Drosophila melanogaster: one gene and its partner. The protein of the gene in region 2 interacts with the protein of the main gene of each other region in a pairwise test. Each region holds a gene or a part of one and is shown on either strand. Other genes may lie near its edges.

Evidence for each region.
Region 1: the proteins of CG31226 (region 2) and Sik2 interact in a two-hybrid assay, tested with the Drosophila melanogaster proteins (one large-scale study listed by BioGRID).

What each region holds. Positions count from the first base shown.
Region 1 is NC_004354.4:2,055,899-2,064,108, forward strand, and holds the start of Sik2 (Salt-inducible kinase 2), read right to left. Parts: upstream 6,018-8,210; 5' UTR 5,724-6,017; intron 4,947-5,723; 5' UTR 4,816-4,946; coding exon 4,201-4,815; intron 4,131-4,200; coding exon 4,067-4,130; intron 3,864-4,066; coding exon 3,577-3,863; intron 3,521-3,576; coding exon 2,423-3,520; intron 2,368-2,422; coding exon 2,086-2,367; intron 2,026-2,085; coding exon 1,931-2,025; intron 1,870-1,930; coding exon 222-1,869; exon of another isoform or gene 213-221; intron 159-212; exon of another isoform or gene 128-158; coding exon 20-127; 3' UTR 1-19. Other genes in the region: CG4281 (uncharacterized protein), read right to left, coding at 6,837-6,993, 7,049-8,210.
Region 2 is NT_033777.3:18,850,597-18,853,558, forward strand, and holds CG31226 (uncharacterized protein), read right to left. Parts: upstream 1,203-2,962; 5' UTR 1,128-1,202; exon of another isoform or gene 1,123-1,127; intron 1,071-1,122; 5' UTR 1,055-1,070; coding exon 896-1,054; 3' UTR 834-895; intron 781-833; 3' UTR 709-780; downstream 1-708.

The DNA of each region.
Region 1 (8,210 bases), on a different chromosome or scaffold from region 2:
AATAACATCACACACGGCCTCAGACTGACTCAAGGTGCTCCGATATCTCCAGGATGGGGCTCTCGCTGAGCGGCTTTACCAGCGACTGCCAATTGGGCGTGAAAAGGCTGAGCACCGGCGTCGATGTCTGCGGAGGACACAAGGAGAAAACGGATAAGGTTTATATACGAACTTGGGATGCCTGAGAAATCATCTTAATATGCGTTATCTAGCTTACTTACATGATAGTCGGAGTCCAGGCTGTGACCGTGGGGCGTGGTAGGCTTGCACTTGACCGTGGGCGTACCCGGCGCCGTGGACGGTGGAGCTGAGCATGATACCCCAGCAGCTGATCCTCCGGAACCAGCTCCATTAGGCGCCGCACCAGGCACCTGGTCCGATTGGCTGATGTAGGAAGTCTTGAGGTTCATCTGACTGAAGGCATGAGCTCCGGGCATGGTCATGGAGTGCTGAAGCCTAGGAGTTCCGCTCCTGGGCCGATCAAGCAAGGCCAACTCGTACAACTCGTCGGCCAGGTGATGTTCCGGAGCCGGAGCCGGCGGCGGTGGCGGACCCAGGCTGTGGCCAAAGTGGTGATGGTGGTGATGGCTGTGCTGCTGATGGTGGTGATGTCGACCGGCTAGCTGCGCCTCCAGTGCGTACTGCTTCTGGAACAACTGACGCTTCTGCTGAAGCAGGCGGTGCTGCAGTAGCTGCTGCTGCAGCGGTGGCTTTTGCATCGGGGACATGGGCACGGCCATACCCACGCCCAACTGATGGTGCGTGTATAGCCCTGGTGGCGGCGGTGGCGGAGCATAGCATCCATGACCATACATATCCCCACCAGCAGCGGCTTCCAGGAGCAGAGGTGTGGCTTGGTGGCCTGAATGGAACAGCGAATGATGGCCATGGTGATGCTGCGCAGGATGCGCATGATGATGGGGCAAAGTCAGCAGCGGATGATGCTTGCCCGGCAGAGCATAGAATTGACCATTTGGAAATTGACAGAGTTCTTCCAAGCCGTACGCTTGGGGATGAGGATGCGGATGCTGATGCGGATGTTGATGGGCATGTGGGTGTGAATGCCCCACAGCCGCCTCCTGCTGCAGCTGCTGCAGCTGCTGGATCTCCAGCCAACCGTGACGCTTGGCCTGCTCGTAGCGATAACTTCCGTACACACGACTGGTGCCCAGCAAGGAACCAGAGCTAAGCAGGCCCTGGGCCACCAGGCCATCACTCGCCCGTCTTCCTTCGCGAAAGTGTATGGGTGAACGCTTGTCCAGGAACGTGACACCACCGCCATTTGGCGGAGGCGTAGGATTCGGCGTGGGCGTGGAGGCTGAACTCTGAGGAAGGCCCAAGCCCAACGGCAGAGCTCCTGGCATATGGATGCAGGAGTTGTGGCTCCCGTACAGCGATCTTTCCGATGAATGCTCCGATGAGATTCCCGCTGGCGATGCCGAGGCCGGAGTGGGCGTGGCCAGCATCGAACTTGAGCCCATGCACGAGGGTAGACTGCCCTTGCCAGAAGGCAAGGCAAAGTCCAAGCTATCGTAGGGACCGCTGCAATTGCTCTTGGACGAGCCGCGGCTCAGGTTCTGGCTCAGACTTTTGGAGTAGCTACCAGCGCTCCCGGCGAGAACGCCACTGGACGAGCTACTACTGGCATACGAGCGCATCTTGTGACTCTGTCCAGAGGTAGTGGTTCCAACGAGCCGCGTCAGATCGCTGCTGGAGTGCGAGGTGGGTCCGCCGTTGGCGTTACCGCTACCGCCGCCATTGCTGCCCTTTGACTCCTGGGAAGCAGAGCCCGGATCGTTGCCCTGGTCTGTCTCGCAGCCCTCATCTGTGCTGGAGCTGCCTTGGGCCAGAACTTTCTTCTCCGAGCGGCTGCGGAAACGGAAGAAAACGACATTAGTCAAGAAACTATCGCTGTGACTGCAAGACTCACCTGTCGCCATTCGATTTCGCATCATTCGTTTCCTGGCCGGAGTCACCGCCGCTGCCATTGGTGCTGCCCACGTGCACACGACGCTTAGTCCTTTGCTGGAGAGGAAATGGAATTTGTCAGCTGGAAGCAATTATTAACTCACACGTATCACTCACCTCCACGGGCAGTGGGCTTTCCTGGAGAGTCTGGAAAAGCTTGCTGGCCTCGGCGGACATCTTGTAGCGAAAGCTTTGGCCCAAATTGGCCTTAGAATCGAAGCTGCTCGAGCTGGACATAGTCTTTATTGTCTTGCCGTTAATCTCACCAGGGCAGGGAGCCGATCCCGATTCCGGTCCCGCTGTACTGGATGTGGGTGTGGTAGAGGCGGGCGGAGGAACGCCTCCTACGCTTGATTCCGCCTTTGGCGGATCATCTTTACCCTCAGCCACTGCTGTGGACTGCCGAAAGTATAAGGATAGAAATAACTTGGGATAGAATCAGCCGAAAACTCACCTGCTGCAGCAGCGCACGACAGTCTTCGGTGCTCTGTTTGATGATGAACTCGCTGATGGTCTGATGAAGCTGCTTGGACGCTAGAGGCACACCCACTGCTCCAACGGGTCCTCCTCCAGCCTCCATCATCTCCCTGCACCGCAGGTTGGCCAGCGAGGGGTTGTTGTCGATGCTGAGCGAAATGGCCACCGGTCGATGGCTTCGCGGCGAGCTGGAGCTTAGACTGTGTCGTCCTACCCTCGAGGATGTGGATGAGCAGTTAGAGGGAGCGGGCGACGCGGCTGTCGGCAGCGGGGTGTACCGCATGGGCAGCGGAATGCCGCTGGCATCCACCTCGACGCCTCCTCCATTCAGATACCCAGTCAGGTGGGAGTGGCCCGTCAGAGGCAGTGGCAGTTGCAGTGGGCCATACTTGGCGTAGTATCCGGGACCGGGATCTGGAACTGTGGGTGTCGCGCCGGCGTGGGCGTTACGCTCACTCATGAGTACCGTCTGATGGCGGCTAAGTCTTTTGTGGCACTGATCCTTGGCCAGGATCGAGCTGGTGGATATTGTCTTGGACTGCTGCTGCGATTGTTGCTGCGTCGGTTGGTGGTCATTTCTGGAGCTGTAGATCATCCGACTGGCGGAGGTCGACGAGGCAAGGGCGCTGGCGCCTAAGCCGTTGCTCTGCTCCTTCTTGTGGCTAACTCGATCCTGCAGGAGCAGATATATGGCCGCGACATGGTCGTAAGTGTTCTTCTTAAGACTGGCTCGCGTCTTGTCCGACCCAATGCCGACATACTCGGCCATGATGCGAAGAATGTCCTCGCTGGGTTCCACGGACGTCTGCCGCTCGGCGCCCAGATTGTACTTGGCTATCAGGACGTGCTCCAGCAGCTCGGGGCACATCCAGCGATGGCGTTTGATTTGGTCGATGGTGTACCGCCTTGTGGGCTCCAGTACCAGCATCCGGCGAATGAGGTGCTCGCACTCGGAGCTCATAAAAAACGGAATGCGAAAGCGACCGGAAAGCACCCGATCCCGGAGGCTCTGCAGCGTGGATCCGTCGAAGGGCAGGGCCCCACATACCAGCACATAAAGCACGACGCCCAGTGACTGCAGGAAATTATACATTTTTGGATAAATTGACACGTATACTTCGCACCACTTACCCAAATATCAATCTCTGGACCCGTATATTGCTTTCCCTCGAAAACCTCGGGAGCTGCGTACGGCGGTGATCCGCACCAGGTGGCCAGTAATTCTCCCGGCTTGAAGTGATTGGAGAACCCGAAATCCGCTATTTTGATGTTCATGTTCAAATCCAGGAGCAGGTTCTCCGCCTTGAGATCCCGATGCACTATGCCCTTCTTGTGACAGTACTCCACCGCCGATATGATCTGCCAGAACTTAAAGCGCGCCGCCGACTCGGACATCCGCCCGTACTTGGCAATGTAATCTGGATAAAATATAAAGGTAAGTCCATCTCATTGAAACCCTTATCAACTTAAGAGAATGCGAGAGATTTAAAGCTAGTGTTGTTCGTCCAAAGGTCAACAAGTCTGTGCGCAATGTGGGTTCAAAAGTCTGCTAACTAAATCGAGTACTGTACTCTACAGTCCGAGTTTAAAAAATTTTTTTTAAAATGAAGCCTCAACCCACCGAAGATCTCTCCTTGGCTGGCATACTCCGACACTATGTAGATCATATTCTTGGTCTCCATAACCTGTGGGATTGGTAGAACGGGATTAGGAATACGATTCTTGGCAGGATCTGCCACAGCAAATTCTGCTGACCTGGTAGAGCTTAATGATGTGAGGGTGCTTCAGGCGCTTCATGATCTCCACTTCGCGGTAGACTTTCTGTAGGTTTGTCTGGTCCAGCTGCGACTTGTCAATGATCTTGATAGCCACCTCGTTCTTGGTGATTCGATGCCGGGCCAGCTTGACCACTGCAAAATTTCCCTTGCCAATGGTGCGCTCGATGTCGTAGAAGCCCACGCGCATGGGCTCCTTGAGTTTGAGCAGGTCCTTGCCACTGATACCGCCCGCGCCCACCGCAGAGGATGTGGGACTGGGACCGGGCGTGGAGCCACCCCCGCTGGCAAAGAGCTTCTGGGCGAGCAGTGCATCCTTGCAAGCCACTATTGCGTCTATCGAGGGCGAAGCAGCACCGGCATCCAGGAGCACTGAGCTCCGGAGGGCATCCAGTGGGGGGTGTGAACACGCTCCTTCTGCTCCTTTTGCTTCGGTTTTCCCGTTTTGGGGCAAATTCTCCGGCGGCTTATCCAGCTGCTTCTCGTTCCTCTCATGCTGCGGCTGCTTCTTCTTCTGATCCTCCGGCGGCTGGCTCTCCTCGGACTTGGCCTGGCTCCCATTCTCGCCAGCGGCCGCCGCCTCGCACGTGCTCATTTTCCAACTGCGCCACCCTGGGCGGGAAATCTCACACGGAGAGCGCGAGGCGGAGGGAGTGGGAGATCGCGATCGACAGCGAGATGGTGATGCACATGCTCACACACACCTCCTGTCTCATGACAGCGCTTCTGCGGGAATAGAAAAAGTAGAGTGGTATATTTTGGGTAGAATTACAATACAATAATGAACTGAAACTTTTTGAATGGATGTGCGACTAATGTTGTGTGTTCCCCATGTACATATATGTGCATAGAAAATATGTAAGTGCAATAAAGAACGGGATGACTCCGGAGAAGGGGTGGGCAGTCGTCGCTTGATAAGAGATTACCTCGGCTTTCCGAGTGTGTATGTGTATGGCTTTCGGACGCGGACTCCACAAGCCACCAAAGCTGCACTCTCCCTCTCTTTCTCAGGCAGTGTTGCCACAGTTCAATTGCAATGGTAAACTGGATTCACGTTTAAATTTAATCTATCACGATAATAATAGTGTTATTTCACTCGCATATCGCATATGCGCACCAGGTACAGACAAATATTTTAAAAACCATTAGCTGAGGTCCTCAAAGACATGCAGATCCATTTGTTAGTGCCCACCAAAAGGAAGACATTCAACGAAAATGGCTGACGCTGCACTTCCGCTTTCAAAATGGCTTTTTTTCCAGCCACAAAATGGCCGAGGTGCCAGCACTGACTGTGTGTGCGGCTGAAAGTGTGTGGGTGCCAGCGTGCGAGTGTATGTGTGTGGGTGAGTGTTGGTGAAAAATCAATAAGCAGAGCAACCGCATCGCATCGTGGAAATGCTCCGCGGTGCCAGTGGCCACTGTTGTTTCCTTCAGGATGCAGTGCAACCGATTCAGAACCACTGCCAGGAGATTTCCCCTTAAAGCTGCTCTCCCCAAAAATACCGTTATTGGTGAAAGCGTTAAAAGCACAAGCCTCGCCGGTTGACAAAGAAGTTTCGAGCAGGAGCGGTGGCAAAAACTGAGAATAGGCTACAGGCTGGGCCAGCTTAATCCGAATCCGGTTACTGGCTATGAGAGGATAAACGCTGGCGAGGATCCGCTTTACATCGCGTCCGCGGAGCGCCACACATGCGGCTCGGAACAGCACAGCACGGCACACACAGACACAGTCGCTGCGACACACACGGCAGATGGCTAGGAAACGTGGCTGCCTCCAATCCCGAGCTGCGTCCAACTGGCGTCCGTATTTGACGCAAGCTCGGCGCTGTCTGCCCCATTCCACCCACTCGCCCCTCAATTTCCGACCCTCACCAGCACACACATGAGGGTTGCCAAGTGAGCGCCAAGTGCCGAGCATCGAGCATGCGCCAACTTTTTCGCGAGGGTGGGAAGTTTGATGGAATTCATTTGAATTTCGCGCCCTTTGATCGTAAAACAGTATGCAATATAACCCGTTTCACCGATTCAGCTTTCAGATAGACAGTGACCGGTACAACTAACAGAAAGAGTTTGAACTATTTTCAAATTTTTTTCAGATATACTCAGATATACTTTTGCTACTGATTTGTATTGGGATGTTGCTCTTTTATATAAAATATCCACCACATTCTAGGTAAAAATGAAGTCCACATGTATTCCGGATATGACCACACATATATATTTCTTATATTCATATTCGCTGAAGGTCTTACATTAAATATTTTGTACAGTGGAACGGCTGCCGACGGCTTTCGGTCGGTCCTCTCTCTCTGTCTCTGAAACGTGTCATCTCGCTCGCTTCCAAGCGTGAGCCCAAACCGACGGGATCTGGGATCCGGTATCCGTCTTGCTGGCGCCATTCCCTAACGAAGTCAGTTAGTATATACACGGACCGATGCAACTTATGTACATGGAACAGATTTCACAAAAACAAGCTAAAAGCATTCATAGATTAAGGGTTTCTTCCACCCTAGAAATGCAAGCGTATGCCAAGAGTTTCACCTCGAGTGCTGATGGCTGTACGTTTGCATTTGCTAGGGATTGGTCTTGTTTGGATTATAGTGTTGCTTTCTGGGGCTAAATCTGGCCGGGATCTTGCTGAAGCGGCTGCTGCTGCTCTCCTTCCTCCTCTCCCTCCTCACCGTAGCAGCGCCGCTTAAAATCGCCAAAGAGATCTGCACGCGGCTGCAGACCTTGTTGAAGATGATCCATGCTCACCGTCTGCGTAGTGTTCCTGGAAGAGCAACAACTTAGTTATAGACTTTGAATAAGTATCCCTTTATCCTTACCCGGTTTTGGTGAGCACTGTACATCCGTGCTCTACCACCATGGTAAGTGAATAGAGCGTGGCCAGATTACTCATGCTATCGGTCTCATAAAGCTCTATATCCGGCAAACGGATCTGTGTCTGTTGCGAATCCTGCAAAAATCGGGCGATGCGCTCATTGACGCTCATCTTGATGCTGAATCCTGGACGCTCGCCATTGATGCGGCGACACCCTGCTCGTATCTCACGTACTTCCTGTCCCTGGGCGTGTCCAGGAGGCGACGAGGAAAGAAACGGATTAGAGGTTTCGCCGGACATCTCACTCTCGATTTGGCGGGAAGCCGGCATGGTGCCATCTGCATTTGTTTCCATCTCTGAGCAGGCATTCTGAATCTCGATAGGCTCGGAGACGCCGGCTGGTTGGAAGCGGGAAAGATCCTGAAGAGATTCTGGAAGTTGGACTGGAGACTTCGAAGGCGGTTCCATACCCACCGCTCCCGCTTCGGTGCCAGACATAAGAGTGTCATCTTCTCCAATTGTGTCATCCGAGCGAATTTGAGGCAGTAGTGATTTTTTTGTAAGCTTCCTTTTTGGATCGTATCTGGCTCCGGGTCCGAATTCGTTTCCCGGCCAGTCGGTGAGTTCATCGTCGCCCTCGCGATCGGTGTCGTGCCGTCGATGACCACCTACTTCCGCCTCGCTATCGGTGGACGAGCTCAGGGAACTAGAGCTTAAGAAGTCATAAAGTTCGCTACAATCCATTGACTGAGCTTGGAGCTGCAGCTGAGGCTGTGGAAACGTTTGGAAGCGGCGGCGACGTTCCGTTTTGGATGAGCTACTGCTGCTGTGTCCCGGCGCCTGCCCCTGCGCCTTTTTGCGCAGCAGCGGAGCAGCTGGTGGCGTACTCAATAACAAGGCATCAATATCGGTCACAGGCACAATGGTGTCCATGCTGATGGAGTTAAAATTGGCGGTCGTAAAATCAGCACTTGGCAAAGGTAGCTTCTGGACCGCGTCCTTTTGATCGGGCAGCTCCTCCATCTCCAGGCTCACTCCTTCGGGTCCTTCAGAACGATGACATTTCAAGTCCTTGTCCTTTGTCTCAGTCTTTTGGGTGTGCTTAGTCTGCTGTCCCTGGGCAGCCATTCGGTTGATCTTCGACAGCAGTCCCTTGTTCAGTGGAA
Region 2 (2,962 bases):
GAAGGCGGCACAAACAGCCGCCAACATATCAGGCACATTATGCGCGATAGTCACGTCTGTTGGGCACATAATTGAAAAGCGAACTTGAGCGTATCAATCGGGCAGACTGGTTGTTACCATTGCTCCCTACCTCCTGCTGGGCTGCTCAATGAAATCAACTAGAAATTATGATAATGAAAATGCCGAGAACTGGAAGTTGTTCACCTTGGCTGCTTCGTTGGTTCTTTTATATCTCTGCTGGCACATCGCCTTGTTCATCAAGTGTACACGGTGCGTATGAGTTATTTGATTATGTTAAGCATACGTCGTAGCGTTGCCGCGCATAATTTCAAATTACTCGCAGCACACATCGGCATTTCAGCACCTCGGCATCAACATAATAAATCCGAAAGGGCCGTCTCCTGGCAAACAAGCTGAGACCGACTACCTACCTATATATATATTTATATCCCACGCACTTCGTGGAGTGACAAAATCCGGAAACAACAAGCGACAGGCAGCGGGCACTCATCTTCAATGCATAGCGAAAGATTGCTTGTCAAGACCTGATTATGTTAACTGCCTGCGAAGGTAGAGTCCTGAACACAGGACACAAGATTCTTGAACCTGAAATTAAGGAAGCTTTTGCACACCATTTAAAAGTTGTAGGCATTAGACACTTGGTACTTTGCACGACCCTCACGACCCCTTTACAATAATAATAAACGTATTTTGAACACTTTATTTAATTAACATTTCTCTCTTCATGTGGGACGGTAATTTAGTTTCCTTGCAAGAGATCTGTTTTGAATTGTATATTAAAAATAGAATTTTTAAAAGTGTATCCAGCTTACGTTCAGCAATTCCAATTTTTCCGTGTGAGAAAGTAGCTCAATCCTACAGCTCATGACAAAAACTAGCAACATCCACCTCTCCAGAAACCGGGTCCACTTGCTCCGCACCAGGAGTTAAATGGTCCGTTGTAGGGTCCAAAGCACGGATCGTAGAATCCACTTGGTCCACTGCCTCCGCAGGGACACAAGGCGGCGCAAGGATAGCAAGGATAGCTGCACATGGTGAATTGATTTGTCCTGCAAAACTTGGACATAAGCCATAGTCGAGATAAGAGTACAATTAAATTACGTTACTTGTTTTGCCGGAAAAAAAACTAGGAAATTTATTTAGGAATTTTTTGTTCCGTTACCGTCCGAAGAGTACGAATTTCAATGTTCAACTGAGCTCTATACGGTGATCGATCGGCAACCAAAAAATTGTTCGCTTGATTTAAAACTCAAGGCTAATAAGATGGTAAAAAATATATAATTATAAGTATAGTAGGCTTTGATTATACAGTTATATTAATTATGCAAACAAGTTGTTTTATTATAGCCTGATTATATAGTGCAAAAAGCAGGATTAAAACAAACTAATTGTGAGATACATTTAAGCATATAATATTTACAAATGGCCAGACGTTAATGGTTTTTTACGAACTTCATTCAGAGCTCGTTAAAAAAAATAATTATAAAAGCTACAAAAATGTAGTCATAGTCATTTATACAAGATTTATTTATTCAACGAATGGGCTTAAAACGGTTTAGTCCGGATTTTCTGACATTCTTAAACTTTTCGACAGCAGAGGTGTCAAATTAGTTTCTTAAAAATAAATACAATTTTAATCCATAAATCTATGAATTGTGTATTACGGAGATACAATTCCCATACAAAATGATTGTATTATTTAGTTGCTGTACCTTACAACTTGAAGTCCAAGCTCATTTTTAGTGCAGCAGAATCCACAGCTAAGCCAGTGAAATCCGAGTGCGCATACATTAAATTATATGCACATATATCTGAGCTCCAATTGCACTCGCTGTCGCTGCAATTTCTCCGCCTGGCTGGCTTCCCTTGCATTCCCTGCAGTCCGCCAAGTGCAGAGAGATCTCCTAATGGAAGACGATGGGCATCCAGGACCGAGAACTGAATGGAACTGCATTGAGTGTTTGCCGTGGCACTCGCCATAGTTCGTCCTTTGTTGTAACTGTGGTAAATCTACTTTTAATTCGGCGCACGTTTTCCATAATGAAATCGGATTTGTGGGCCGTGGCAAAATCTGGCGCGGAAAAGCGATGGGGCAGGGGCACGGGGTAGGGGTGCTGGCCATAAATTGAGCACTCAGCAGCTCGCTGCGCTTTGTCACGGTTTCCAAAAATGCCGCGAATACTGTGCAAAGAAAGGTCCCTAAAATGTTGTGGCAGTACGGCTGGATAATGCCGCATTTTGAGGAATGCTCGAGTGCAGCGCACACTAATGGCAGCAAATATATTATGGCTGCTATCATTCGCATTAGCTGGCTGAAATGAAGCTAAAAAAAAATTTCACATGCACGCTGTGGCAGCAAAAAAAGGCAAATGGTAAATGGCAGCAGCCAGGCAGGAAATTGCGCTACTCATACGCACCGTGGTCCCGTGTTACCGTCTGCTGCATTATCTTAATTTTAAAGCGCGCTACAGAACGCTCCGAAAATTGTGCTCTCGTTGGCCATGTTTTAGTTTCATTAGCTCGGCTGAAAAGCCATTTATCAAGCTGTCAGCGCCAATTATTTATATCTCCACTCGTCGGCGTTCACAGCTCACAGAGAAATATTATAGAAATATGTATTATCATGGCTCGGCGAAAATAAGTGCGTCGGATCAATCCGCATTTTGTGTTAAATGGAATGGCAATCGCCTGGCGTTAAATTATATTAATTGCCAACCTCTTTGGCTCCGCAGCACTCGTGCTTATCGCCAAACAATTTAAAGTTTTAATCTCTTGACGCATTTAACCGAATGGCCCGGGGCTTTCCGAGCAGCATTAGCCTGGTAATTAACCAACAGCCCGAATTGGGCAACATGTGCCCGGAATCGCCTGATCCAGCACACAGCACGGTGTGTGTTATATACGCTCAAGTTGGTCCGACATTCATGAAATTCGAGAACTA